Linked DNA regions of Arabidopsis thaliana. The protein of the gene in region 1 interacts with the protein of each later gene in a pairwise test. Each region holds a gene or a part of one and is shown in the gene's direction. Other genes may lie near its edges. The genes, in order: MYB62, AT5G07580, AT2G31730 and AT1G66810.

Region 1 (8,304 bases):
AGAGCGCGTTTACTACATTCGCTTTCATCAATCGCCACCATCACTTGCTTCATCACGCTTTTCTCTTCTTCCGCCATGGTTTTCTTCTTCTCTGTGATCGCTCCGATGACTTGGTGATTTGATTTCTCTTCTTTGAGAAAAGTCAGAATGATGACGTGTCGATTGTGTAGAGGAAGGCACGAGGTTCTTCTGGAGATTTTGAATTATTCGATGGGCCTGATCCAATTTCGGGTTTCTTGTATCAGGTCCAGAGAAAGCCTATAACCTCGTTGTTCTTATTGGCTCATCGGATTCCAAATTGGCGGCGAGGTTACACAGACCTACTCCTCAAATCCTTAACGTACTCGTAAGCCCATATCCGATTTTTCTTTTCCTGTAAATTTAAATTTTCTTACAAATTTCTCAAAATCGCAAAATCTTTGCCTCTTTCTTCTCTAATCGAACTAAATCTTAAAACTTTGCTGATTGATTGATTTTCGATTCCGGTATGTATCTTTCTTTAGTTTTCAATTCGCTGCTTGCTTCTTCCCTGGGAATTTTAGGGTTTTTAGGGTTTTGTAATTTCCGATTGAAAAGTTTCGTGCTTTACGAGTCTCTGTAACTCAATTTTTGGCAGGGAGAAGAAAAATGGTATCTGGGTTGATTAATGAGAACCCTATCATTTACCCAAAGAAAGAGAGGCGTCTTCGTACTGATACAAGCATTACTGATGAGCTTACACCAGAACCAATTGATCAACTTGAGATTTTTGATATCCTTTCTTCATCAAGTTTTCTTAGAACTACTCTAATTGCAAACCTTAATTGGTGAATTGGTTTGATTGTGTGTGATTGTGAGGATGTGATTATCGTCTTACAGCTATTAGCATCTGAAATTAAGAGTAGCTAGTGTATGCATAGGTTTTGGAACAACTTGACATGCCTCTTAGCTTGAAGTTTGCTTCTTTACACTATTAGAAGTCATGAATCTTTTGTTCTCATATGCATATCTTTTCGAAGTAGGTGTTGGAACCATTTGACATGCTTCTTAGCTTAAAGCCTACCTATGAATCTTTTGTTCTCGAATGCTAAATTTCTTGTAATTATGCGTGGTATCGGTTTGGTAATCTGTGAACAAATGGAATCTATGTTTTAGTTGATACAGAATGATATTGGATTATTTCTGTTGTTTTCTTTAACAATACACAAATCATATAAGAGATATCAAAGATCCAGAGCATCCTAATACTCTGGAAGATCTCAGAGTAGTTACAGAAGACTCAGTTGAAGTGGATGATGAGAACAGTTATGTTAGGTAAAATGTTGGGATTGAACGTTTTGTTATGGATTTTTAGTGTTCCTTTGAGCCAATCTGTTGAGCTCTACCATTTCTTTTCAGGGTTACGTTCACTCCAACTGTCGAACATTGTAGCATGGCAACCGTTATCGGTCTTTGTGTCCGTGTGAAACTTCTACGAAGCCTTCCTTCTCGATACAAGGTACAAAGCTTTCTTGTTATTTCATTTCTAAGATTTTCCGGTTCCCTTTTCCTGTAAGTTTGTCAAGATGATCTTCTGAGCCCATTTTCTGATTTATACATTATCGAGAGTGGTTTGAACGTAACTGAGATCCAACACATGTTCTCCTTGTGATGATATATGAGGCAGAGAAATTTTTTAATTTTTCATTCTTAATCAACTGTTCTTGATACTTGCGAAGAGAAGATAGCCCTAGCCTCTACTATATATAGTTAGGACTGCCTTAAAACACACTCGCACAATGTTTTATGTGCCTCAGTCCTCTGAAACGAATCTTCATTTTTCAGATTGATATAAGGGTAGCACCTGGTTCTCATGCAACAGAAGATGCATGTATGTCATTTTTCAATATCTATCCATCTTTTTTGGTATGCATGTTTTGCTTTACATCGAGTGTACTTCTTTAACATGATGTCTGGTTTCTTGGTGTTTAAAATGCAGTGAATAAACAACTAAACGATAAAGAACGTGTGGCGGCTGCACTAGAGAATCCAAACCTCGTGGAGATGGTTGATGAATGCCTGCCATCAGAAGAGTGAATTGCTTTTATTTTCTTGTGAGCAAGTAATTTACACAAGCCTGGTGGTCTCAGTTTACACTATCAATACATGTCTCTGTTTTATTTGCAAAGATTTTGATCCATCACATCGACTAGGACTTGCATTGTAATACTTACTCTGATTTCAAGTTTGTTCTCAATCATTTCAATAAAGTCTCAAACACAAGTTCTTTTTAATAAAAGTTGACGTGTCATTTCGATTTCAAAGTACATATACATCAATCAAGTTGGGAACTTCACATCTCTCTCTCTCTTAATGCATTATTACAAAGTCAGCAAATTGTTTATGAAGCAAAAAGCTGTTTTCTTCTTCTTCTTCTTAGATGTATTGATATATGAAAAAGGAAACAACGATAATGAGATGGATATTTTTGGAAAGGATATGTAAACTTGAAACACACACTTTCTTTTTGTGTCCCAACTTATCTTTAGGTTTTCGATTATCCAGAGTATATGATGTTTATTGTTTCGTTGTATAATGTATGGGACTCGAATCATACTTTAACAAGAATCTTGTATATAGCAACTTGGTCTCAAGATCAACCTAGTTGCATAACTTGTAACCCTCCGATAGAATCTTGCAATCATATATATCTTGTAGATGTTGACGAACTCGAGAATCGGGTAACAATCAATCATCTTCTTTTGTAGTCTCGTGATTTGATTATTGTCGTCGTTAATTGTTATGCTATAAGTAGAGTTTAAATTTGAAAATATGCGTATGTGAGTTGTAGACGACAAAAAATATTTAAATTTGTTTACGTTAGTCCAATTATATGGATAATATTTGAAGGAAATGAATGTAACTGTAATTCTATAGAACAAAAATGACTGTTACTAATAACATAGTAACAATTATGTCATTGTTGATTATATAATAAGAGAGGATAATGAAGACACAAATGTCAAATCGACTTTGTTTTCTTTATTCCTGGTCTTTAGGCTTTATTTACATGTTGTTTTGGTTTTTGGGAGTTATCATCTTCAAAAGATTGGGTTGAACAGTAAGTGAGAGTTATTAGCAATACCATAAGTTTTAATACATGCACATAGACATTTTTTGACTTGCCGGTGTAAAGCGACACGACCCTTCCTTATTTTTCCAAAATTATTATTTGTTTAACAAAATATTATACAATACGATTTGAGCTAATGAAAACTAATATAGGAAGAAGAATCTTTGAATATTCAAAGTTTGAAAGGATAATATGCTATACTAAGTCCGCATAAATTAGCTGGCTTCTAGAAAATTGTTGTTAAAAATAGCTGTCTTCTAGTTTTACCATTTACATAAAAGTTACAAGAATTTATATCATTCATTACACCATATGTAATATATGGATATGAATTCGGATGATGCCACATCGACCACAATAGCTCAAAGCTACTAAACAAAAAGTCTTGACTCTTGATCAAACATTTGGAGTGTTTATTCCAATTTTTGGATTGTTTTGGTACAATTTTTATTTAATCAATAATTTGTGGGACAGTGGTTTATTAGGTTTTGTAATATCTTGTTTGTCTCGAGTCAAGACACATGTATCATGTATGCTTCTTGTTCCCATACCAATAATTATGTTAAACTATGTTCAATCTCAATATTCAGCAACATTACCAAATAGAAAACCAAAATTTTTATAAAAACTGTTAGCCAAAGTTGGGATAAAGACAATTTTAGAAGTAGAAGAAAGAAAAATGACTAGTATACACTATCACAGAGGTAAGAGTTAAAAATGAACTCTATAGCATATTATGAATATGACTATTGTAAACTTTTCCTGTATAGTTAATTTAGTATTTAAGAATCTAAATCGTACTTTCTTCTTCCAAAATTCTGTTCCATATTCTTTTCACGTGAACATCTAATCCATAGAGTTAAATCACCAAAATTCCATTTCTGTTTCATCGTCGCATAAAAAAGTTTATGAAACTGTATCGATATATTCTATGCTTCTAATGAATTATATACTTGGACCAGGGTTCATCGCAGGATTCGACTAATCCAAAACTTTTTTTTTTAAGAAAGTCATATTTAACTGAAACAAAAACCAGATGATTTAAAAAAAAAATGTTTGCATATATCATATATGTGTTGGCTTTTGAACAATGGTAGCTCGAAAAATAATTTCAGAAAAATTGCATGCGTAAGATGAAAACAGAGACGCGATTAAGAAAATGTCAATGAGATATTTTGTGATAACAAATACTAATGAGTTAAAACATGTTTTTTGACAATTTTAGAATGTATAAATGTCCTTGGCAATGTTAAAAAAATAACAATATTTTGTATGAGTTAAAAAGAGAAGCTAATTTAGTAAAACAATTTACTTTAATTTGGAAACGTGTGATAATTAATTTTTCATTGGAAAAAAGCAAGCTGATGGCTAAAGTAACAACATTTTCCAATACCACGACCACGAGTCTATAAATTCCCAAGAACCTGTTGAATCACTTTCACTTCTCAAAGCACCTAAAAGTCTATCTCTCTCTCTCTGTATACAGTCATGCATGCATAGAGCTTAAAAGATACGAAAACACCACAAACCAAATATCATTAAGTAATTAGGAAACTTAAACTAAGTATGGAAAATTCGATGAAGAAGAAGAAGAGCTTCAAAGAAAGTGAAGATGAAGAACTAAGAAGAGGGCCTTGGACTTTGGAGGAAGACACACTTCTCACAAATTACATCCTCCATAACGGTGAGGGTCGTTGGAATCACGTCGCCAAATGTGCTGGTAATTAATCAAGAACTTGATATTGGTTTATTAGTTAGATTCTCTGACTTTACTATATAATCACTATCTTTAACAAAAATGAGAACAGGGCTAAAGAGAACTGGGAAAAGTTGTAGATTGAGATGGTTGAATTACTTGAAACCCGACATAAGACGAGGGAATCTTACTCCTCAAGAACAGCTTTTGATCCTTGAGCTTCACTCTAAATGGGGTAATAGGTGAGTGATGAGTCACTTTCATATCTCAAGAGTCTTTTATTTTCTTTTTTTGTTTTTTTTTTCTTTTTTCCTAAACGAATATTTGTTATCTAAGGTGGTCCAAGATTGCACAGTACTTGCCAGGAAGAACGGATAACGAGATCAAGAACTATTGGAGAACAAGAGTTCAAAAACAAGCTCGTCAACTCAACATCGAATCTAACAGCGACAAGTTCTTTGACGCTGTTCGTAGTTTTTGGGTCCCTAGATTGATCGAGAAGATGGAACAAAACTCATCCACTACTACTACTTATTGTTGTCCCCAAAACAACAACAACAACTCTCTTCTTCTTCCTTCTCAATCTCACGACTCTTTAAGTATGCAAAAAGATATAGATTACTCGGGTTTCAGCAACATAGACGGTTCTTCTTCAACTTCTACTTGCATGTCTCATCTAACAACAGTTCCACACTTTATGGATCAAAGCAACACCAATATCATCGATGGCTCGATGTGTTTCCATGAAGGCAATGTTCAAGAATTCGGAGGATATGTTCCTGGCATGGAGGATTACATGGTAAACTCGGACATCTCAATGGAATGTCACGTGGCGGATGGTTATTCAGCGTACGAGGATGTTACACAAGATCCCATGTGGAATGTGGATGACATTTGGCAGTTTAGGGAGTAATTAAGTCGTCAAGAGATGAGATGGTAGAGCCTACCACTACGGTTCTATTATATGGACTAATATACTTCTTTTGCTTAACTAAGCAAAAAGTTTCGAACCTTTTACCCATATTATCTCGGGTTGGAGACTAGAACATGTTAAATTTGTATCTTCTTTGTTGCGAGTACTTACTAAGTCATTGGATAAATATTTATAATGATAGTTTCTTGTACAAGTCTTTGAATTCATGAAATCTTTTATCAATGTATGGAATTTTATGAAGTTTTAAACTTTAATCATATTCTTTTCGGATTGGAATTGAAACATGTTAAATTAGTCTAAATTTTTCCTCTTAGTTGGTGATCAAAGTCAATGTTTGGATAATTATTTATAATGCTTGTTTGTTTGTTATATAAGTCTTTAAATTCAAGAAATCTTGTATCAGTGTATGGAACTTCAATTTATGAACTAACCAGGTCAATTTTATACATGACTAGACTTAAGAGTAAATAGTAAAGGGTAGTCTCTTGTCTTGAAATCTTTGAGACTTGTGTGGATTTTAGTGAGAAGAAAACATATCTAATCTCACCTCAACAGGTGAAATAACCCAAAAGCTAGGAGAGTCGATCTATCCAAGATATTAAAATGATGGGGATAGAGACTCAACCATCTGTCCCTTCACCAAATTTGATGTGTTTCTTTGTAAGATCGTTGACAATATTACAGGGCATTTGGCTTGATTGACATAAATCGTTTTTTTGTGGAATTAACGAATCATAAATAATAATAAAAGAATTGATTACATAGTTGAATGCTCTTACATAAAGTTTTAATATATACGCATTTAGACAAACCATACAAAAGTTTTAATATATGCGCATTTTGTATACCAGCAGTAATCAATGTTGGTTCAAGAAGATAATAGAGACAAAGGACCCATCAATTATTTATTATAATTATCTGAAAAGAGCTTCAACTAAAATGATAGAGAAAGGTGGCTTTGGAGAAGTCTTGTTAATGGGATCGAATTATTGGAGGTCACTTCAAAAGCCTTTCATAAGTACATGGAAACTCCACAATGATTTGAACCCAAAGGGTACCACTAAAAGTTGGAACAAACATTGATGCACTTTTGAGAGGTTATGAACGATAGATCACACTCATTGTGTATGTAAAGATTTTAGTATTTCAGACAATATACAAAAAAAAAAAAAAAAAAAATTCCTTATGATCGAATCCAGAAACGTAGATGGTCCTGCTATGGACGTGGAATTATAAAATTGTATAACTTAAAGATTAAATATCTAAAACTGGTGGATAAACGCCAAATACTTTTAGAAAAGACATGAGTAACGTGGACCCAATTTGAATAGAAACATTACTGTATAGGTCAAATATTCATTAATTACGGATATATGTTAGTTGCAAAAAAATTTCAAATTTTGTAAGAACATAATCCACGCGGCCAAATCATTTGCATCTTCAAAATTCATTTCCAATGACAATGATCTATATATTGTGGAATTTTAATTGCATAAAATCATATATATTTTGAAAAATGTTTTTAGTCAAGTAGTTAAGTGTCTATTTTTGCGGTTTTCTCCAGTTACCCTTACCCACACAAAATAAAAAGTGGGCTATCGATCGGACCTTCTCGACTGATATGGTATTAGAGTGAAACCAAAAAAAATCATATTTTCCCAACTTAACAAGCACATTTATTTTAATCACTGTAATCGAAATTCTCATGTTCAAAAAATTTTTGGGAAACAAATAAAGTGAAGTCATGTTTGGTCTACATATCACCAAGCTTAATCTTTATATTGTCTGAATAGTTTATATATCTGCGGATTGGTCGACCATACAACCAGGCAGATAGTGAGACCAAACCTTGATCTTAAAATAGGCAAGTTCAATTTAAAGTGTCGTAGAACTGTATGGCTTGTTAAGGTCGAGATGGGCCAAACTAACATTTCTACTGCAATACTCATTTATCAAAAATTTGGAGATACGCAGAAATATCAAAAGTTATGAACCGAAATCGATAGTTCCATCGGTTGAACCCGAAAAGAACATCAGGGAGAAAAAGACCAAATATTTCAGTTCACACAAAATATATTAACGTACAATGTTCTAATCTTTAGTTTGGAGAAATATGTCTTTTAAATTACTTTTTGGTTAAGAAATACTACAAACCAAAAAAAAAAAAAAAAAAAAAAAAAAAGTCTTACTACAAATAATGGGGAAGTAGAGTGGGTGGCACTGGTATATTAACGTTGGTATGGTTAGGTAGGCCGTAGGTTAGTATGAAAGACTAGAGAAAGTCAAAAGTCAAGATTATTGTTTAAGAAGAGGCACCAACTTAAGAACACCAGCTGGTTTAGTTCATGAAACAAGACATTTTACAACAAAAGTTATGACCATCTCGTAAAGTAAACAGTGTTGTTTTGGCACCAAATCTTACAACCACACGTTACACGTATTACGCATATATATATATATGCTCATTTTCTTGTTCCGTGTTTCCGAGTTCATCTTGTTCACATTGTTCAAACAGATTATATCTTCACTTCCATAACTATTATAGTCAAACCTAAGACATGAATAGATTGTCATGTTTCGGTG
Region 2 (7,407 bases), on another chromosome or scaffold:
ATGTAGGTCCACCCGGTGCTGGTCTACCCGGTGCTGCTCCACCTGGTGTTGATCTATCCAATGTAGGTGCATCTGATAGAGGTGCATCAGGTGAAGGTGCATCTGATGGATGTCCACCCGATGTAGGTCCATTCGACATATGTCTACTAAGCATAGATCCACCTGTTGTAGGTGCATCTGATGGAGGTCCACCAGATGAAGGTGCATCCAATGGAGGTCCACCCGATACAGATTCATTTGGTGGAGATCCACTTTGTGCAAGCCCACTCGGTATAGATCCACCTATTGTAGATGCATCTGATGGTGATCCATTTGGTGCAGGTTCACCTGATGAAGATCCATCTAACGAAAATGCATCCGGTGAAGGTGCATCTGGTGAAAGTCCACCTTGTTCAGATGTATCTTGCAAAGGTCCATCCAGTGCAGGTGCATCCATTGGATGTTCACTCGATAATGGTGCATCTACTCCAAGTTCTCCCGATACATTTCTTTCAAATGTATTTCCATCCGATAAATCTTCACCGGATGCATTCTCACCCGATGTAGCTGCACTAGTTACATTACCATCTGGTAAAGATCCATTTGATATATCTCCACCCATTGTAGCTCTACTCGATGTATCCCCCCTTGGTAAAACTTCATCCGATGCATATTCATCCGGTATCAGTCCAGGAATTTTCGAAAAGTCTTTCCCTTTAGTAAAACTACAGACAATTGAATACATGTAGTTATAGAAAGAATGGATGAATTAATCTTGAAAGTTTGGTCGATACTGTTTCATAGTGTCTGATATTGATTATACTACGTTTAAAAGGTAAACGATCCTTTTTAATTATGGTCGAACTAACGATCATGAGTTTTTACTGATGAACCATTAAACTACCAAGTAAATTGTTCAAACGGAACACTGATAAATGTTATATGAATGCTTTATTTGGTCCAAATTATTTCTCCAAAGACATAATCAGTTTTTTTTTTCTTGCTTTGTTTTGCTTTGTTTTGTTTTTTGGTAAAGGAAGACGACCTGTTGCACATGTAGTTCACGTATTCTATGACTACGCTCCCGCCTGATATATATTCATAAATAGAGTCACAAATCATGAATTGTAGACGTTAATTAATTTGTCTATGCTCTCACATACGGTATTTAGTTTGAAGTTATACAGGTATAATAAAACGGTAAAAATTCAGATATTTGTCGTCACCAAGATAACCCCAAATGCTAGATCAACGCCTAAATGCGCAAACAGATTAATATAGAAAGTGAATGTTTTGTAGGTTAGTGTTACTTACTTATAGAGCCAAGTTAAGATGGTGAGAGCCGTCAGACCGGAGGTACCTCCAGCCATTAAACTTAAAGCAAGAACGGTGGCGGTAATACCCGCTGGTACGAGAACAGGGCTGAATACAAGGAAGAGCGGCATGGAGGCGGCTAACGCCATGGCTGTGCCAACTAGTGATAAACCGGCCAGCAACAAGAGGAATACTGCGGCTGTAGAGGCAAAAAACGCTATCAAAACACCCTTAATCGTCGGCTTTGGAGATCGTAATCTCTCGCGTTTTTTCTTGCGAAACAACATTTTTAATGGCCAGAAAATATTCCTTGTTTTATCGGATGGTTATGTTGTGGGATTTCATGAATTAGGAGAGTGGATTTTATGAATAGATCTAGAGAGGTATGGTCTACGTGCACGGCACGTGCTTTACCTCATGCGTAACGATGCAAGTGACTGTTGAGCTCTACGTTACCTCAATGCCTCTTCTCCTCTCTTTTTTCTGTTTCCCTAGCTAATTTTGTTGGTTTACCACATTTTTTCGTCCTCTATTCCTTGTTTCCTCGCTTTCTTGTAAAATAGTTGTAGGTATTTTGGTTTATATTGGGATATTGTTTGTGTAGGTTGGTTTGACTAATCTAGTTTTCATTATAATATGATTGAATTATAAGTTATAACCAAAATCATTTTGATTCGGATTGACTAGACTTTTTTTCAAAAAAAAATTAGTTAGATCTTGGTGTGGTTTTGATAGAGTTTGTTTACGTTGCGTATTCTTACATGTGTTAAATTTCCATGGTAAAATGAATAAGTATTGTAGCTAACTTTGAACTGTTATAAGGACCTAATTAAGGTACATAAATTGTTAGTCAGTTTCAAGTTAGGTTTAGTAAGTGTTAACAAACAGTTTTAAAGTCGAGTTCTCTCAAACTTCTTTTTTTTGATAAAAACTGCTCTCAAACTTATGGCGATCAGAATCATCAATTAGACCAAAGAGAAGAATTTTCGTTATCCGATTTCCAAATACAAGAAATTCATCAAACTTACACAAACAAAGTAACTAAAGCAATGCATTTAATATTGTTATTAAAGGTTCAGTAGCTGTAGTAGTATGTGCGAGATGAGTCACTTGATACAATTCAATTCATACTGAATAATGTTGGTGGTTGAAATAGAACAGTCTCTTCTGTTTGATGTTTCCGATCTTTTGTTTATTAGTACAAAAACAAAAAAAAAAATACTTCGTTTGCTATGTATATCAAAATCCTTAAATAATTTATTTTCTTACGCATAGATTATGGATGGATCATATTTTTCTGATAGGAGGAAAGTTCACAATTTTGAATTTTCACAACTGTTAGCTGAATGCAAAATACAGGTGAAATGTTCGCCGGTAAACTTTTTATCTGAAACTAGTTAAAACTAACAGACTCGGTAAGCATAAAAGTGATTAGCATATCATTGACAACCAATAATGGATGATGGCGCAAAGACATCCAAGTTAATCATAATCTATGTTCACATTATTATAGAGATTACTATTATTATTTTGGACAAATCTATGTTCATATTATTATTTATGCAAAAAGAGGGTGGATTAGGTTTAACTGTTGTGGAGCCCTAAAAATTAATTAAGAATCCAAAAAATCAAGTTGCTTCAAATCATTTCCCACCAGGAGAGGCCTACCAGGAATACAACTTGATTGAGCTGTCTTTCCTCTTTTAAAATTTATCCATTAGGAAGCTTTTCATATAATTTTTTTTTTTTTTTTGGGTATGAAAATAGAAAAGTCTTTTGAGATTAGTATCCAAAAAAAACAACGATTATTTAATCGGACGTTGTTTGATCAGAAATGGTTTACGAGAAAGTCGGCATATTATTCGATTTTTCATTATTTTCTCGATACATTTTTTTCATTCGAGTCTAATTCACGTATGTTAAAAAGTTATTTGATGTACAAATAATCCAGATTATTCGACCTAGTCGTATCAGAGTTTCGAGATAAAGTTGTAAAGTTGGTTAGAAATCCTTATGATATCAATAGATCAAATAACCCTAGTTAAAGCATCAAAAAATCAAATCCACCTACGTAAATGCTTAGAGTTACACTCAAATTTTGATTTTTTAATGACATCTCTTCATATGCAGAGATTGTTTTTATGTGGAAACACATAGACTAAATGGCTTATCTTTAAATAGAAAGTAAAAGAGTGGAAGTGAAAGAAAGAAAGAAAAAAAAAAACCAATTTATTTGTCATTTATTATTCTACAGAATGGCAGAATGACTATGTAAAAATTTGATTCTGTGAAATTTCGTCATTATGCATAATACCAATAATTATAAATAGCGAATAAAAACAAAAACAATAATGGGATGTTTAGCAAAAAAGAAATAAAAAAGCAGTGCCGTTGAGAATCAAATGGTTTTTAGTAGTCAGCATCAAAGGTAAAAGACAAGTTGAGCATAAATCATATGAGAAGATTCATCGTTAGAACCAAAATGTAAAAAAGAAAGAAAAAAGCTTAGCTTTTGATTACAGTTTTGTGCAGTGTGAAGTGTCACATCACACAACAACTTGGGTGAAGGAAGGTCCTTTCAAAAAGTTGGACGTTGTCTTCATAAATTTGTATTAATTGATCACAGACTCATGACCCCATCTCTAAAACCACTAAGAGAGCGACAAAACCATAGCTTTTTTTTTGTGTCCCTACCCCATCCATGGCTGCTAAAATCTTGTGATTACCTTCTTGTCTCCTTCCTCTTCTCTTTCCCTCTTTTATATAAGAACCAAAACATCCACAGCTTTTGTTCCATCATCACTTGCAGATTCTTTCTCTCTTTCGTAAAAATGGCGAGTTTTGAGGAAAGCTCTGATTTGGAAGCTATACAGAGCCATCTCTTAGAAGACTTGTTGGTTTGTGATGGTTTCATGGGAGATTTTGACTTCGATGCTTCTTTTGTCTCAGGACTTTGGTGTATAGAACCACACGTTCCTAAACAAGAACCTGATTCTCCAGTTCTTGATCCGGATTCTTTCGTCAACGAGTTCTTGCAAGTGGAAGGGGAATCATCATCATCATCATCACCAGAGCTGAATTCATCGTCATCAACATATGAGACTGATCAGAGTGTGAAAAAGGCAGAGAGGTTCGAAGAAGAAGTAGATGCTAGACATTACCGAGGAGTGAGGCGAAGGCCGTGGGGGAAATTTGCAGCAGAGATTCGAGATCCAGCAAAGAAAGGATCAAGAATCTGGCTAGGAACATTTGAGAGTGATGTTGATGCTGCAAGAGCCTATGACTGTGCAGCTTTCAAGCTCCGGGGAAGAAAAGCCGTGCTCAACTTCCCTCTTGACGCCGGGAAATATGAAGCTCCAGCGAATTCAGGAAGGAAAAGGAAGAGAAGTGATGTGCATGAAGAGCTTCAAAGAACTCAGAGCAATTCATCTTCATCTTCCTGTGATGCATTTTAGCATATTAAGAGTGTGAGCAGTTTCCTTAAGTTGTATAAAGTAATTGTACAGAGGAAACGAATTGTGTAGGTTTAGTGTGCTTGCAAGTTGCAACAAATGTGTATGGATGTTCTGTTTCTTCATGTCCCTAAGATTTAGAAACATCTTCTTATTTCCAAGAAAGTTATTCAGTTTCCAGGTCTCTAAACAACCTAACTAGTTATTAGATGTTGTAATCCATTAGTCAATGGTTTATGAAACAATCAAGTTCTCAATCTCACACATAGAAACTTCACTAAAACAGCTACAAAAAGTGAGTGTACCAAGAGGAGAAGGGGAAGTGAATCAAGATGAGCAAGTTACATGAATGTAGCAGGCTAGCAGCAATGTTTGTCTTCATAGGTTAGGTACAAGTCAACACTCAGTGATAAAGGAACTGGACCACAAGCTACAGAGACTTGAAAGAGAGATGCACAACTTGCAAATGCAGAATAAACAAGTCAACACTCAGTGATAAAGGAACTGGACCACAAGCTACAGAGACTTGAAAGAGAGATGCACAACTTGCAAATGCAGAATAAACAGAGCAGAGATATTTAGTTAAATATCTACTTCTCTCTGTTTACTAAATGGTTGAGTATTAATAACACTGAAACCAGGATACCATTTCCTAATCTCTGTCTGGTTTCCTAGTTTCAGTGGTATTTTTCCGGTCTAGACCCTTGCTGGGTGGACGAATCCTAGGCCAAAATGGGATCTATATATTTTTGAAGTGAGATATCTTATAACATCCATAGTGAGCTAACCTGGTTTGGTTTTAGATTGAAGAGACTTTCTTCAAGGGTTGACTGAGTTGTCAATGCAAGGCCCACCATATTGGACCTATTGGTCACCACTGCAAGAGTAAACTTGTAAAACAGTTACAAACAATGGCATATACCAGCATATCCCATTAGTACATGGAAAAGGCAGAACAAGTCACTCTTCTCTAATCAATCATTCTCCATAGTTCCAACGAAATACTTGAAGAAACTCAATCATATCTATCTCACTTTTGACAAGCATAACACTTCTTTAGTCTGAATACTTTTCATGTTACTACAACATAATGGATGCATCATTATTCATTACCTTCCAACACAGAGTTTTGGTGGATGCCTTTATCTGTTGAGTCCGCCATCGACCAACATCAAGCAGGAGCCTATTTCCTGAAATGAGAACTTTAGTTTGTTGGGTCAAGGACTCAACGGTTACTCAAGAAAGCTTCTTTATACATTGAAAAATGTTTTTAACATTCACTAGTAAATGTCGCGGAAAAAAACACTCCTAAAATTGAAAGACAAACAAGGCTGAAACTTTTACAAAGAACCACATAAGTAATCTTCAGTCATCAGAACTGTAGTCGCTGGACTCAGGCAGAGACGGGACCGTGGCACAACAGAACGCATCTTTGTCTTTGAGAAGGAGACAGCTTCCATCAATGTTCCATTTGAGGTCCGATATGGAGAAGCCCGGAAGGGGATTGCATACACAGAAAGCACCCGAGGGAGTCCACATGTAAAGGTGAGAGCTTCCAGTGCACAGGAGGAGGCGTGTGCAGGTTGGGTCCCACACAGCTGCTCGGATGGGTTCCTTCTGGACCAGGATGGCTGCAACCTCGAGGAGGCGCATGTCCCATATCCACAGAGCAGTGGGCATACTGTCGTTTCGTGTGCATATGTACTGGCTGTCTTTGCTCCAAGCTAGAAGGCCTGCGAATATTTCAAAAGAGTTTAGCTTTGGAAGTTAAAAACAAGAAGGAAATTTCGAATATCCGATTGCAGTTTCCAAGGTTGCATTTGGTCGCAGAAGAAAGAGCTTACCGACTCCTTGTTTTGGGTTAGGCTTGTCCGCAGGAGGTTTCTGGAAAGGAAAAGCTACCGGTAATTCCATGACTTCATACCTGACACTTATATAGCCTTCTGAAGCATCTGCACATAGAACCACAGAAGAAAACAAGATAAGGTTACAAACAAGAAGAATGGTACGGAAGTTTTCGCTATCAGAAAGTTTTGGAATCGTTGTTACCATAATTGCTTGGCATAAAGTTTTCATCCAACGATAACTCAGACATATCAAGCTGTAATGGTTCATCGATTTCCTAGAAAAATCATGTCCACTAGGTTAAATACACGCCTAAATCAGGCTGTTACCAACCTTATTGTCAAAGAATGGAAGTGGATTTACCTTGAAAATAGCCGCAGAACAGGGCGCACGAACCGTTGATAGGTGTAAGAACTCAGCGAATGTTTTCCAAGTAAGGTGATTCAGGACCCGCAACATTTGATCATAGCTACCAATGGCAAGAAACTGACCACACGGAGACCAGGAAACAGTCTTGACACCAAGTCCACATTCATATGCCTGGTACTTAAACAGACACCTACCATCTGGAGAATAAATTAGAACCTGCCCAAAAGGTACAAATTTTAGAGATATCTCCAACAAACCAAACATAACAAAATTCCAATAACTATCTAAAAATAGCATCAATACCAAAACGATACATACCTTATATTCAAGAGGCGAATCCCACACTACAATAGAACTATCATCAGGTGACCACTCAAGATCAGCCAAGTCCAAGGTATCAACAGCAAAGCTACCCATTATCTCCCATGATTGACAAGACAAAAGGTTA
Region 3 (8,515 bases), on another chromosome or scaffold:
TTTGTTTGATCTATTAAAAGGAGTGTTAAATTTCAGACTCGTGCTCATGAGTGGCTGTTCTGTTCAGAAGAAGGACAGTGGCAGGTTGTCGAGAGTTCTCAGGCCGCTCGTCTCATAATGGTAAGCTTTTTATGGTAAAACCTCTTTATATACACCATGTTACCGTGATCTATTTTCGGCATGAGATTCTAAACACATCTTAATTTCTTGATGAAGGTTTTTCTCGACAGTAGCCATAGTGGAGCCACCATGGAGGATATCCAGGTAGGTACTATCTACATTTTGAGTTGTCTGATGCATTATGTTGTTTACTTATTGATCGATTTTATCTGGTAACTTATTCATCTCAGAATGATTTATCTCCAATGGTGACACAACTAGCTCCCAGAAATGATGATGAAGCTCGCATTCCGTATGTTTATCGGATTTTTTTTTTACTATATTCTCCATGATTTTTGGTGCAACAGTAATCCTAACTCATTTTGTTTCCGCCATTATTGCTTGTTAATTAGTAGTTGAATTGAATTGGTGCTGTAGGTATATGATGGCAAGTGATGGGATAAAAAAGCGTGATACTGTCCACGAGGTATTATTACTAGATATACCCAATTAATCACTTAATAAAACTGTTATTTGTTGTCTCTTCTATTTCTCGCCTTTCACAAATATGATCATCGTTTCCTTTATTGATCTCCGTGATTAGACTTTTATCCACCACTATTTTAGCAAATTTTAATACTACTGATTGGTTAGAATACGTAGTTATGGGGATCTTTTTTGTTTCTTACTATTCATTTCGATTTGTAGGTTACATCTCCTATGACTGGGAAAGTGGTTGTTGAAGATGTGGTTTATGAAAGCGCTCCTAGTAATTTAGAAGACTTGTCTACTTCTAGTGATTTGGCATTTCGACGACTTGTATTCAAAAGGACTGAGGGTTTGATACAGTCTGAAGCTTTGCTTGTAGAGGATGGTGAGATTCTTGAACAGTCTCAGAAAGAAAAAACTAAAAATGTTTCCCAATCGAAGCGAAAGGGAAATAAAAAGCAAAACCAAGGTAAAAATCGTACTTCTGTAAGTGTTTTGATACATTTCAGGTGAAAAGTTTCATGATCTTTTTTACATGTATCCATTTCAGAACCGAGCAGGCCTCTTATGAGGGTCTCTCATGATTATCTGGCTAGCTCTTACCACACTGGAATTATTTCTGGATTCACATTGGTATCTTCCTACTTGAAGAAGGCTGAGTCATGCGGAACGATGGTGAGCATTATTAAGTTGTGGCCTCACGGTGCAACCGATCTGAATCTTTTCTTTGCCTTGTACTGATCCAGAAATGTTCTGATGCTTTTCAGGTTAAGACTGTTGTAATTGGTCTTGGAGCAGGATTACTTCCCATGTTCCTCCATGGATGCTTGCCATTTTTCAGTATTGAGGTAATTTCAGTTTAAAGGATTAATCAAGTTGAGTATTTTCTATTGCCACTCATATTCTGTATCCTGTTGAATAGGCGGTTGAGCTTGACCCAGTAATGCTTAGTGTTGGCAAGGATTACTTTGGTTTCACACAAAATGATCGCTTGAAGGTAAAATTCTCCCTCTTTACAACAAAAGTGCTGGCTAAACTTTAACATGTTTATATTCTATTCTATTATATGCACCATCACTCAGCTCGTTCGCATTCTTATAATAGGTGCATATTGCTGATGGGATCAAATTCATTAGAGATATAACAAACTCTGAAGCTTCGTCTGAGGAATCGTCAAACATTGGCTCAAATGGAGATTCAACCACTCACAATACACAAGGTGGAATTTGTCCTGACATTTTAATTATAGATGTGGATTCAGCAGATTCAAGGTAAAAGACATGGCAAGTAAATTCACATATCTATGAATTTACCCACATGGTAAGCCTGATTGTTTTCTTGTTTGATCTCTTGTCTGCAGCGGCGGATTAACCTGCCCTGCATCTGATTTTATCGAAGAGACATTTCTTCTTTCGGTTAAGCAAGCTCTCCCTCAGCACGGTCTTTTCATAGTGAATTTGGTCACGAGATCACAGTCCGTCAAAGATATGGTAGTATCAAGAATGAAAAAGGTAAAGCAAATGTGATTCATTCCTTGTAAATTCTCTGCATATTTTCACAAATCTGATCTGATACTATTGCACGGAAATTGAGTCATAGAATTGATCTCTATTGTTTTGTTTTTTGCCAAGGTTTTCGATCATTTATTTGGCCTGCAACTAGAAGAGGAAGATGACGTAAACGTAGTGCTCTTTGGGCTTTGCTCTGAATCTGTAATCAGCGAGAACGATATTCCAGAATCTGCAGTTATACTGGAGGGATTGCTCAAGTGCCAGAGATTGGAAACGAAGCAAAGCATCATAGACGCTACAAAGAAGCTGAAATGCTGGAAATAAAAACATTCTTTATTATTTCGTTTTAAAAAGACGTGTGAGATATATTTCTGTTATAAGTTAAGATTGAAATTTTTGAGACTATATTATATACAATACACCTAGTTTCGTCCATACGCAAATGGAAAATGAAGCGTGGAGTTTTTTTCATAACCTTTATGATTGTTAGACCTACCAACTTATTGAAGCATTCAATTTGGATGATAGTGAAGTTGGAATGTAAGTTAAACATCAATGTCTTGATTAATTTTGTGCATTTTTGGGAACTATCCGTATTGTTTCTGATTTGAGTGATCTTCCTTATTGTTGCTAAGAAATGCTCGAATGGTGATTAGCATAATTGCTGTTTATTCATTGGAGCTATAATAATTATGGTTGTAATATTGTAATTTGGGAAAGAAAGCCTTTGATACAGGCCGATTTTGGTACGTACGTAAGAGAGATATAAATTGAAACACCTAAACCAAAATCTGGTCGCCGCGAAGACAAAAGAAAAACATTTGTGGCAAAGAAACAAATTCAGAAACCGCGTGGGTCCGATATGGAACGCTGATCAATTGGACATTTGTAAACATTTCAAATATTTTGCATGTAATCAATATTGTTGTTATATTTTTTGCCTTTTAGTTATAGTTAGGTTTGTTTTTTCTGTTTGTTTGGTTAGATTCAACTATTTGTTTATGCTTTTCAATTTTGGGTTAGTATTTAGCTGTTTACTTTGGAGAAACAAAAGAAGATAGATTCTGTTCCATATAAACAAAAAGCTGTGTCGTTGAAACTTGAAAATGTGAATATACTCGGATATCAACCAAAGGGTACGCTGCATTAACCAACCTCCCTCGTAGAAAATTTCAAAGAAAGGATAACAAAACAAGAAAAAGCACAAAGTTGAAAAAGAAGTGACAGATGCAGAAGAATTGGTCAAAATCATTTTGACAAAACTACATAAAAAACAATCAAATGTCACTTTCAAAATTATTAGCTTATTTATTATTTTATTATGAAAATAATGAAAGCGACTTCTATCTGGGACTGGTAAAAGGACCTCTCTCACCATTGGTTGTACATTAGCTGTCAAATTTTTACATTTCCATTACATTCCCTAACTCCAAATATATACACTAAACTAAATTCTTCAAGTTACTTCCTAATTACTACTATAGTAATTATTTCCTAACCGTCAAATAGTACTGAATAACACATATAATATAGTTTCGATTGATTAAGAGATTTGAATTAAACAGAATAAAGTTTTACGATTATATATTCTAACAATTTATTTGTCTCACAAAAAAATCTATAGATTTAATGAGAATTAAATGAAGAGGACGAAAGGAAAAACAAAATGAAGAAAAAGACATATGAAACGTAGTCCCCTCTTTTCTTTGCTTTCTTCTCTACATAAAACTAAAACTCCTCTCTTTCACGACCCTTTAAGTAACGACGCCGTTTTCATCCAAACACAAACCTCTGGAATCGTGTCACCGTTGGAGCTCCGGCTTCATTAATGGCTTTCTTCAAGACCTGAAGACAAAAGAAAGTAAAAATATATATACACTAGAGAGACCAAGATCCTCGTTTATGGGTTTCATCGTGTCTTGTGCTTAGGGTGACATAAATACCCATTTAGAGAGCTTAGACCAAGAAGTTTTAGAGTTTGTGAAGTTACTTGTTGGTTAGTCTGCTGTTTCTGGCAAATGCTGAGTCTCTTCTCTCTGTAAGTTCTTTTTTCTTCATTTACTCTGTTTTGTTCCCCATTTTTGGTCTTTTTGACTTAACTTAGAGTATTTTAAGGCAAAATAAAATCATGAATCTTTTGGTATTTTTTGTTCTCATCTTCTTGTGGGGTTTTTCTATTGAAGTTTGCTTAGCTTTGAATCTTGTCTAATGGAGCTAACTCGATCCAAAATAAAAACACGTATAATGATTAACTAGTTCTGCTCATTAGATGAACTAAATTAATGAGTTAATTCCGTAGTTTCATGCATCCTACAATGTATTGTCTATGTATGGAAGCAAAGTATGATATCATATTTAAACATCTATGATTGTGCTACTAAACTTTAAATAATACTTTAAGCTGATGTGATCTTATATGGATAACCTCTGACCATTATCTACTTTCTTTGACCATTGCTCTTGTTTTCTAATCCAAAAGTCGTATCTTCCAATGCATTAGTTGGTCCAAACCTAGATTTGCATCCCTTAATTTGTAGTAGTTAACATCTAATTTTGATGTTAAAACCAAGACACCACTTTGTTTGTCTGGTCTGAGAATATCTCAAGGCGTATAGTTTTGTCCTTATGACGCTTGCAAAAGCAAGTTGTTGAGTTGTAATCTTATGTTTTTTTCTGCAACTTGCCTTGGATGAAGCCATGAGATTATCTTTATAAATGGTAGCAAGTAAACCGGTTTCTTATGTCGAAAAACCGATCATTTTTGTTTTGTTTGATGACAAGGAATGGAATACTCTAGAGACTCGGCAGAGATGATGATGGAGACTAAGCGCAATGTCTACTCGCTTGAAGATAACAAAATTAAACGACACAAGTCATCTGATCTCTCTTTCTCTTCCAAGGTCTTGTGATACATCAAAATCAAAATTCATTGTGGCTATGAAGCTACCGGACATTTCTGTACCAGCATGCTAATGATCTTGAAACTTTGTTGTTCTGTGGTTTAAACAGGAGAGGAAAGACAAATTAGCAGAACGTATTTCAGCTCTTCAACAACTAGTTTCCCCTTACGGAAAGGTACTACTTGGTCCGAAATAATCTTTCTTACACGCTCTTTGTCTTCTCTAGCCATGTTCAAGTCTCTATCTATGCAGACCGACACTGCATCAGTTCTTCTAGAGGGAATGCAATACATTCAGTTTCTTCAAGAACAAGTCAAGGTCTGCTCAAGTTTTCTAATCAAATACTTTTCATTCATTCACCTCCTCCAATCCAATGATGATTATGCTTGATTTTCTCTGTTCAGGTTCTAAGTGCTCCTTATCTGCAAGCAACCCCTTCTACTACAGAGGTGAGCTGAATCTATGATCTGGATCTCGTTTACTTGGATCACAATGCAAGACTGATATTTTCCATCTCTGTAACTAGGAGGAAGTGGAAGAGTACAGCTTAAGAAGTAAAGGGCTATGTCTTGTTCCATTGGAGTATACATCAGAAGTTGCTCAAACCAATGGTGCTGATATTTGGGCTCCTGTGAAGACTCCAACATCTTCTCATGCTTTTAATCTCTCGTCTTCTAATTCGCCCTTTCAATGAGCTGCTGCTAAATTCTCTGTCTCAAGACTAATGAAAATTAGCCAAAGCTTTGGTCTGATCATGTATTGATGGAGAGACCTTGAAGTCGGTGATGGCTGTTTCTGTTATTTTTTACTGCTTAATCCCAACTCTGTGGTGGCTTCTTGTAACAATTGATTCTAATGCGAAGTTTAACGGACCGGTCAATGACCGGAATTAGCTTCCTGTTTAATAAAGTTTGAATTGGTGAAAAAGAGTTAACCGGTTTAGAGAAACCCGGGAAACTTAACCCGACCCAAAATTGTCAAACCCGTTTTGTTTGCGGCTATTGAAGGATCTTCTATTGAAGAGAGCAGCTAGCTAAAACCCTAAAGCCCTAAAATCAAAATTACGCTAAACAGAGAAGGCGACAATGGATCACATCGCTGCGGCGGAAGAGCAAATCGTATCGGAGAGACTTCGAAGAAAGCTTGAAGAAGTTAATGTAGCTGCTCAGACTCAGCTTTCTCCTATCCAAGATCACATCAATTTCACCCTTCAGGTATATACAAAAATCTGTACTTTTCGCGAGCTCAGCATAAATTCTCTCTGATATAACAATTTAGCAATGTTAGCTTCTGAATATGGAATCTTTATTGGTTTGATACAATGCTAGTTTCAAATTTGATGAATTGAGTAGGTTCATGAAAAAAGTCTGAAAATTTGCATTTGGGTTCGTACTATATTCGTCTTTAGACACTATGGATTAGGTTCACGACAATTGCTCTGGTTTAATTACTATATTGTGCTCTGTAGGATATTCGATAAGTAGGCGTGTCTCGTTGCATAACAATTGCTCTGCTTTGTCTTCAGAAGCATGAGAGTTATTAACACCTTCTCTTGTGTTTTTGGGTTGCTATATTGAGTTATATGATCCGTTGATTCAAATTAATTAAACCCTGACAACGATATCATTGTTGCAGCAAGCTTATTTCAAATGTGCATATGAGTGCTTTGATAGAAGAAGAAAGCAAGAGGAGATAAGTAACTGCGTCGAGCACTGCAGTGTTCCCGTTGTCAAATCTCAACAGTATTTCGAGAACGAAATGGCTCAATTTCAGGTAAAGATATCTGCTAAAAGATGATACATAGTTTGCTGTGTATAAAGACTGATTTTTGTTGAATGAATGTATAGGAAAGATTGAACAGATCACTGGTGGTGTGTCAAGACAAGTTTGAGGCCTCAAAGCTCCAGAAGATAAGGCCTGAAGCGGTTAACGAGATGGAGAGTTGTGTGCACAAATCCATTGAGGAAAATCTCAATACATTACCACATATTGTGCAGAGAATGAAGACAGCATTTAACATAACCAACTAAAAGCTCTCGTGAAAAACCTTGGATTCCAGAACTTGACTAGCCATATTGTTTGAAAAGACCTTTTCTTTTGTCTTAATATGATCTACAAATTTGTTTTCCTTTTTCTTATATTAAGTTTTAAAATTTGCCACTGTTTTGGAATAACTGTATTTGCTTGTTCTTCATCTTCCCTAGCGAAAACTTTAAAACTCTATAAAAAAAAATTGAGGATAAATACATGAATTTAAAGATTGAACCGAACAAAAGAGACTAACCAATAGAATAGAAGCAAGTAATTTAGTGAATATCTAAAACTAATATAAAAATATATAGAGATTATCACTAACAAAAAAAAATAAAAAATAATAGAGAGTTATATATACCTTTGTTCGTTTGTGAAAGGAATTGACAATCAGAATCATATAAAAGCAAGACTATAAACTCCTCTCTGCCGCTTAACTCTTTCTTCTTGTCTCTCTATTTTTTATAACAATGGTGAGAGGAGATGATCAACTTAATGGTTTGCAGGGAGGGAAGAGAGCGTTAGATATTTTATGTGTAGCGACGGAGAGAACGGTTAGCGCTTTTGCATATGAGGAAATAGGAGAAACATCCACTGAAGGTGATAAAAGGAGGGAGAGACTGAGAAGACTGAGAAGATTAATTAATTACAGTCTGAGCACAACTATGAATTCCAGCTTGAGCAAACGACTGAAGATTGATGAGTGCAAGAATCAAGACCCGGAACAAAACCCTAATCGTGTTGCTTCTTCTCCAAGTTCGTGCCATCTAGAGTCCAAGAGGCCTCAAAAAGTGGTTTCAAACAAACCGGTAAGAAACAGAAAGCCGGTTATAGTGACAGATGAAGATAGGACACCGACGGAATGGCTGATTGACGTGATGAGAGAAGTGAACGGTATGGATGCAAAGCTGATATTTGTGAAGGTTCTTCCCAATAGTGATGTCGACGAACTTCAGACACGTCTTATGATGCCCTGGAAGCAGATACTAGATATGGACTTCTTAAACGAGGAAGAGTTAGAAAAAATAGATAGACATCACAAAAAGATTAGTGCCAGTGACAAAGGAGCGGATGTGATCGTGGTGAATTCTAAGGGTCTACAGAGGAAGCTTAAGCTCAAGAGATGGGATATGACTTCCACTTCCAACTACGTCTTAGGTTTAGGATGGAACAAGGTCGTCACCGATAACATTCTACAGAGAGGCACTAGGCTTCGGATCTGGTCCTTCCACTCCCCAGACATGCTCTTTTTCGCCTTCGTTCTTTCAGATCCAGATCCAGCTCCGACTGAGTGCCTAAATTTATTGGCTAAATTGTGCGAGGAGACGACTTGTCTCGAGGCTTTACAAGAGGCAAATAGGATGAGCTCACTCGTCTCGGACACAGAGCTGGACCTCGAGCTCCGGTTGTAGTTAAGAGTTTCCAGCAGCAAAAAACAGCTCTTCTAGCTCTACTGCCGAGGTTTGCCATGCAAGTATTTTTTTT
Region 4 (6,418 bases), 670 kb from region 1:
AAGTTTCTTCAAACATATAAATATCTTCAAAAAATTTAGAATTGATAAGAAGTTAAAACTGTTGACTTGATTGAAAACTAGGCCAGTCCAAGCTATATAAACACTAATTTCTTGGAGATATTTAGGAGCCAAACTTTACTCAATTCAGAATTGTGTCTCTCTTTAGAGATGTCTCAGTTATTTCTCATTCTCTGCTTCATTCTAACTCATTTCTTTGCCATAGCCACTTCTCTAAACGATCAAGGTCTTGCTCTTCTTTCCTTTAAACAATCCATACAAAACCAGAGTGACTCTGTTTTTACCAATTGGAACTCTTCAGATTCAAACCCTTGTTCTTGGCAAGGTGTTACATGTAATTATGATATGAGAGTTGTCTCGATTCGTCTTCCTAATAAACGTCTTTCGGGTTCTCTTGATCCATCCATTGGAAGTCTCTTGTCCCTTCGTCACATTAACCTAAGAGACAATGACTTTCAAGGGAAGTTACCTGTGGAACTCTTTGGACTTAAAGGGCTTCAAAGCTTGGTGCTTTCTGGAAATTCTTTTTCCGGGTTTGTCCCAGAAGAGATTGGTAGCTTGAAGAGTCTAATGACTCTGGATCTTTCGGAGAATTCTTTCAACGGTTCGATTTCTTTGTCGCTTATTCCATGCAAGAAGCTGAAAACGCTTGTTCTTAGCAAGAACAGTTTCTCTGGAGATCTTCCAACAGGGTTAGGTTCTAACTTGGTTCATCTTCGGACACTGAATCTTTCTTTCAATCGCTTGACTGGAACGATCCCCGAAGATGTAGGAAGTCTGGAGAATCTGAAAGGTACACTTGATCTTTCTCATAACTTCTTCTCAGGTATGATTCCAACAAGTCTTGGAAATCTCCCTGAGCTTCTCTATGTCGATCTTTCTTACAATAATCTCAGTGGTCCGATACCAAAATTCAACGTTCTGTTGAATGCCGGTCCAAATGCTTTCCAAGGGAACCCTTTCCTCTGTGGATTACCGATAAAGATTTCTTGCAGCACAAGAAACACACAAGTAGTTCCTTCTCAACTATATACAAGAAGAGCCAACCATCATTCTAGACTCTGCATCATCCTTACAGCCACTGGAGGCACAGTCGCCGGAATCATTTTTCTTGCTTCATTATTCATCTACTATCTCCGAAAAGCATCGGCTCGTGCAAACAAAGATCAAAACAACCGAACATGTCATATAAACGAGAAACTGAAGAAGACGACAAAGCCAGAGTTTCTCTGTTTCAAGACTGGGAATTCAGAATCTGAAACGCTAGATGAGAACAAAAATCAACAAGTTTTCATGCCAATGGACCCGGAAATCGAATTTGACCTCGACCAGCTTCTAAAAGCCTCGGCTTTTCTTCTAGGGAAGAGCAGGATCGGGCTTGTGTACAAGGTAGTTCTTGAAAATGGATTAATGTTAGCCGTTAGACGATTAGAAGATAAAGGTTGGCTACGGCTCAAAGAGTTTCTAGCTGATGTCGAAGCAATGGCGAAAATCAAGCACCCTAATGTCTTGAATCTCAAGGCTTGTTGCTGGTCTCCTGAAGAGAAACTCCTGATTTATGATTACATACCAAATGGTGACCTTGGTTCTGCAATTCAAGGTAATTTTAGTGTCAAAATCGCATAAATCTATGACCATAGTTAAGATTCAAGACTGATTCATAAAAATTTATGACAGGTAGACCTGGTAGCGTGTCATGCAAGCAACTAACCTGGACGGTCCGGTTAAAAATATTGAGAGGAATAGCAAAAGGATTAACTTATATTCATGAGTTTAGTCCCAAAAGGTATGTCCATGGACATATAAACACAAGCAACATACTTCTAGGACCGAATCTTGAACCGAAAGTATCCGGTTTCGGTCTAGGTCGTATCGTCGACACGTCTTCAGATATCAGATCAGACCAAATCTCTCCCATGGAGACAAGCTCACCAATCCTCTCTAGAGAATCATATTACCAAGCTCCTGAAGCAGCTTCAAAAATGACTAAACCGTCTCAGAAATGGGATGTGTATTCATTCGGTTTAGTGATACTCGAAATGGTAACCGGAAAATCTCCGGTTAGTTCAGAAATGGATTTGGTTATGTGGGTTGAATCGGCTAGTGAGAGAAATAAACCGGCTTGGTATGTTCTTGATCCGGTTTTAGCTCGTGATAGAGATTTGGAAGATAGTATGGTTCAAGTCATCAAGATCGGTTTAGCTTGTGTGCAGAAGAACCCAGATAAAAGACCACACATGAGAAGTGTATTGGAGAGCTTCGAGAAATTGGTAACTTCTATTTAATTATTATTAATTAATGAAAAGTAATAATTTTAATTAGATTATGTGTTTACTTCATAATTTTCAGATTACTTCATAAATTTCATGTGATAATTTTTATGGTTTTTCTGTTAATCATTCATAATTGTGATATTATTATGAAAAATAAAAGGACACAAGGGAGGATATTTTTATTGAACTTATATAATTAACAAAACTGTTAATACAGTACAAAATTAACATAATGCTTTAAAAATCTTTTACCCAAACCCGACCCGGAATTATGAACCGGAGCTTTTTTTCATAGGTCAAATCTCTCTTTGATGTCATCGAAACTGTACCCGCCGCCAACTCCAAATCCGTATCCAAACCCGAACCCGATACCACAACCAATACCGAATCCAAGAACCACGTTAGAATGGTCAAGTCCTTCAGAGGCACCTATTCCGAGCCCGCCGGAGAGACCAATGCCGATTCCAGCGCCGCAGCCAATGCCGCCGCCGATTCCGGGACCGACGGTTGTTGTCTTGATGTTATCGATTTGTGTACGGAGGAATCTGGTAACCGGAAATTCTGATTTCCCGGTTTTGACGTCTGGTTTACGGCTCCAGAGTTTATTAGTTGATCCCATTGGTTTTGTGATTGGGCAAATGACGATCACTGAATTGTGAATTTATGAGTGATGAGAAAATCAGATAAGATTTGAGAAAAAAGATGAATATGCGTTGAGGTATTTATTGGGCTTATTGTCGCATATATTGGGCTTTAACCCATTTAAGTCTCTACAGATTCTCTCCTATTTATCAGTTTTTTTTAATGATAAAAGATACACATGAGATACAAATTCTTCAAGAAAATGTTAAATACAGATTTGGATTAAGTTATATGATATTTTGTTTTTAAAATGTCGTAGAAAGGGTAAGAAGGTAATTTGGGCAGGGTTGTTGGGTTAGAAGGAAGGAAACATTTTCTAGTTAGTTAGCTACAACGAAAGATTTTGATTGAAGTATATTACACATAGGAAAGAAAGAGGGACCATAGTTAGTTAAAGTTGTGCTCTTTAAGCAAACAAAACTCACATATATTCCTTACCTTACTACGGTCGTTAACAACATGAAACTAAACATACATGCATATATCAAAAAACCAATTTAATCATCAATTCATTAACTATTCTTATTCATGATTGGCCCAACCAAACTTAATAAAATGACCTATTCTTCTTTATTTTTGTTTCTTCAAACACACCAATACATACTTCCTTATTCTCCAAGTTACAAACAAAACCTCCCCTCCTAACAAACTTTTTGTTTCCATCTATTTTTTTTTTCAAAATAGATTTTTGCTTGAGGTTCATATTTATATACTTGCTTAATGAATATATTATTAATGTTTTAAGCTATTAAATACTCGAACTAGTAAACCTCCTTTGGGATGGAAGATGCATGTTATTGACTAAATATGATCTACCAAATGGATTTAACATTTTTTATGGTGAATATTGTCACTATAATCTTAAGCTTAAGAAACTATACAGCAATATAAATAGAATATTAAATTTTGTTCTCACTGTATGTGTAAAACTAAACACTAGTTTTGTTGTTGAAGTTATCTAAAAAACAAATAATATTCTGTTACATAGAAATCTTTAACGGTTCTGAAGTTGGCGCGAAAGTGAAAGTAGGTGAGAAATATTCCTCTACACTTCACTTAACCATGAAGAAGCAATTCGTTATCCAATTAAATACACTCGCTTCTCAAACAGATCCTTAAATAATCTCATCGTATGGTCTAGATTAAGTAGCGTAACAATCTTCTCGTAGTCTCTCCCGCATATTATCTTTCTCTCTTTCTTCTTCCTCCTCACCTCTCTGGTTCTCTCTATATATATATATATATACAGAGCATCGTTCATATCTTAATTTCACCGCTCTTTCTCTTTCGCTTCTCTGAGAAGTTTCAAAGCTAATTCAGGTACTCTCTCGCTCTTATTATCTTCTCTGGGAAGTTTCAGTTTCCGATTGTGATTTTGTAGATCTAAACGGATTCAATTTTGTCAATTTCTGTGTTATCTTCTTCAGGAAGCTTTCGAGAAATTGCAACAATGGAGAAACTCGCGGCGTCTACTGTTACAGATCTAGCTTGCGTAACGGCGATAAACTCATCGCCGCCTCCACTATCACCGATCTCTGAACAAAGCTTCAACAACAAACACCAAGAAGAGTTCGCCGCAAGCTTCGCATCACTCTACAACTCAATCTTCTCACCGGAATCTCTCTCTCCTTCTCCTCCGTCCTCTTCCTCACCACCATCTCGCGTCGATACAACTACAGAGCATCGTCTTCTTCAAGCGAAACTTATCCTCGAGTACGACGAACTCAACGAGCATTACGAGCTTTGCCTTAACCGTCTTCAATCTCTAATGACGGAACTTGACTCTCTTCGTCACGAAAACGATTCTCTCCGCTTTGAAAACTCAGATCTACTCAAACTTATTCGTATCTCTACTTCATCCTCCTCCTCCGTCTCTCCTCCGGCGCCGATCCATAACCGTCAATTCCGTCACCAGATCTCCGATTCTCGCTCCGCGAAGAGAAACAATCAAGAGAGAAACTCGTTGCCTAAGAGCATCTCCGTCAGATCTCAAGGATATCTCAAGATCAACCATGGATTTGAAGCGTCAGATCTCCAAACGAGTCAACTCAGCTCTAACTCGGTAATTCTCACTGTAATTTTAAAATTTAAAATTTGTTTTTATTTGATTAATGACGTCATAAATGTTTTGTGAAGGTGTCTTCTTCTCAAAAGGTGTGTGTAGTACAAACAAAAGGGGAGAGAGAAGCATTAGAGCTTGAGGTATATCGTCAAGGGATGATGAAGACGGAGCTTTGTAACAAATGGCAAGAGACTGGAGCTTGTTGTTACGGCGATAATTGCCAATTCGCTCACGGAATCGACGAGCTACGTCCTGTGATTAGGCATCCACGCTACAAAACTGAGGTTTGCAGAATGATGGTCACCGGAGCTATGTGTCCGTACGGTCACCGTTGCCATTTCCGTCACTCACTTACTGATCAAGAGAGGATGATGATGATGATGCTTACTCGCTGATCTGGAGAAGAAGAAAGGTCATTGAAAAAGGGTAATAATTAGTGGTTGTGTACAGATTTCAGATTTGATACCTTATAAATATCGTAACTTTTCTGGGTAATGAATTGGGAAGAAACATATTTGCTTGCAATAGGAATAAGGAAGGGAAAGATGTTAAGTAAATGTTTGATAGGATTATAGGAATATAATTAGGGATGGATAAGAAAGGAGAATTGAAGAAATGTGTGGTTCTCTTTTATACTTCGAGATGTTAATTCTTTTGATATGTTGTTTGTATTCTCTTGGATTAAGCAGGAGAGACTTGAAAAGGATGTTAGATTCAACAAAGATATGAAATTTATATTGATAAAGTTTTCTACTTTGTTCATAAGTATGCAACTTTCTTCCCTAAACTGTTGTGCTGCTATAGTTTTTCTCTTTCTAATTGCTGCAGTGGTGGTAATACATTCATGGGAAAAGATTGATTTGGTTTGTTGGTTATCTTGGTTTGTGTATTTATGTGTAATCTCTGCTTACTGGCTTTCAAGTTTCTGTTTTGCTGATAAACATAGACTAAGATCTTAGGATGGGCATGTGTTAGTTTATGTCGAACTGTGTGTTTTGCTGGTCTTACCATTTGGAGAAGAATGCAGTGATTGTGTCGGATGATGTATTATGTCTCAAGTTGTTCTGTTTATGGTTGGCAAGAGAACAGCAATTTTCTCTGCAGAAAACTGTTTCCTGACGATTTTGTGACTAGAAGTTGTAACTAGTTTGTTCCTGCCGTCCGCTAAAGAAAACTTGGTCTAAGTCATAGGATCTGTATTGTATGACTGTATGTATTAGTTGATCTAAAACTACTTGTTTTGCTAAAATGGTTTCAACTTACAAGGTCGATGAAGTTTGTAGAATGTCATTGGGCTACTTACCAGCTGGAAGATACATTGTGAATCTTTAAGAGTAGGAAGATCGAGTTGGGTTAGATTTGCCTTTCATATGGAGGATTCTTTGTCTATTGGTTAAATTTGGTACTAACAGTGGTATTAACT

What was found.
Region 2: the proteins of MYB62 (region 1) and AT5G07580 interact in a two-hybrid assay, tested with the Arabidopsis thaliana proteins (one large-scale study listed by BioGRID).
Region 3: the proteins of MYB62 (region 1) and AT2G31730 interact in a two-hybrid assay, tested with the Arabidopsis thaliana proteins (one large-scale study listed by BioGRID).
Region 4: the proteins of MYB62 (region 1) and AT1G66810 interact in a two-hybrid assay, tested with the Arabidopsis thaliana proteins (one large-scale study listed by BioGRID).

Annotation. Positions count from the first base shown.
Region 1 is NC_003070.9:25,599,185-25,607,488, forward strand, and holds MYB62 (myb domain protein 62), read left to right. Parts: upstream 1-4,491; 5' UTR 4,492-4,657; coding exon 4,658-4,811; intron 4,812-4,899; coding exon 4,900-5,029; intron 5,030-5,123; coding exon 5,124-5,700; 3' UTR 5,701-5,997; downstream 5,998-8,304. Other genes in the region: AT1G68300 (Adenine nucleotide alpha hydrolases-like superfamily protein), read right to left, coding at 1-77; AE7 (MIP18 family protein (DUF59)), read left to right, coding at 628-769, 1,200-1,293, 1,378-1,477, 1,804-1,849, 1,958-2,055. UniProt on the Arabidopsis thaliana protein: Transcription repressor of phosphate (Pi) starvation-induced genes. Negatively regulates Pi starvation responses via the repression of gibberellic acid (GA) biosynthesis and signaling.
Region 2 is NC_003076.8:2,395,602-2,403,008, forward strand, and holds AT5G07580 (ethylene-responsive transcription factor), read left to right. Parts: upstream 1-4,124; coding exon 4,125-4,748; downstream 4,749-7,407. Other genes in the region: AT5G07570 (glycine/proline-rich protein), read left to right, coding at 1-728; AT5G07571 (Oleosin family protein), read right to left, coding at 965-1,067, 1,294-1,580; AT5G07572 (uncharacterized protein), read left to right, coding at 1,312-1,662; AT5G07590 (Transducin/WD40 repeat-like superfamily protein), read right to left, coding at 6,111-6,478, 6,590-6,697, 6,795-6,867, 6,954-7,175, 7,278-7,407.
Region 3 is NC_003071.7:13,484,961-13,493,475, reverse strand, and holds AT2G31730 (basic helix-loop-helix (bHLH) DNA-binding superfamily protein), read left to right. Parts: upstream 1-3,796; 5' UTR 3,797-4,137; intron 4,138-4,784; exon of another isoform or gene 4,785-4,880; 5' UTR 4,881-4,882; coding exon 4,883-4,999; intron 5,000-5,108; coding exon 5,109-5,174; intron 5,175-5,251; coding exon 5,252-5,317; intron 5,318-5,403; coding exon 5,404-5,448; intron 5,449-5,525; coding exon 5,526-5,693; 3' UTR 5,694-5,926; downstream 5,927-8,515. Other genes in the region: AT2G31740 (S-adenosyl-L-methionine-dependent methyltransferases superfamily protein), read left to right, coding at 37-120, 217-264, 351-412, 538-586, 808-1,057, 1,139-1,263, 1,356-1,436, 1,511-1,585 and 3 more; AT2G31725 (FAM136A-like protein (DUF842)), read left to right, coding at 6,085-6,213, 6,635-6,772, 6,847-7,029; AT2G31720 (B3 domain protein (DUF313)), read left to right, coding at 7,501-8,442.
Region 4 is NC_003070.9:24,926,585-24,933,002, reverse strand, and holds AT1G66810 (Zinc finger C-x8-C-x5-C-x3-H type family protein), read left to right. Parts: upstream 1-3,948; 5' UTR 3,949-4,253; intron 4,254-4,360; 5' UTR 4,361-4,383; coding exon 4,384-4,995; coding exon of another isoform or gene 4,996-5,067; exon of another isoform or gene 5,068-5,069; coding exon 5,070-5,390; 3' UTR 5,391-5,757; downstream 5,758-6,418. Other genes in the region: AT1G66830 (Leucine-rich repeat protein kinase family protein), read left to right, coding at 169-1,618, 1,696-2,303; AT1G66820 (glycine-rich protein), read right to left, coding at 2,581-2,910. UniProt on the Arabidopsis thaliana protein: Functions probably as a transcriptional factor that activates genes involved in secondary cell wall biosynthesis. May play a role in both transcriptional and post-transcriptional regulation. Binds to ssDNA, dsDNA, and ribohomopolymers in vitro.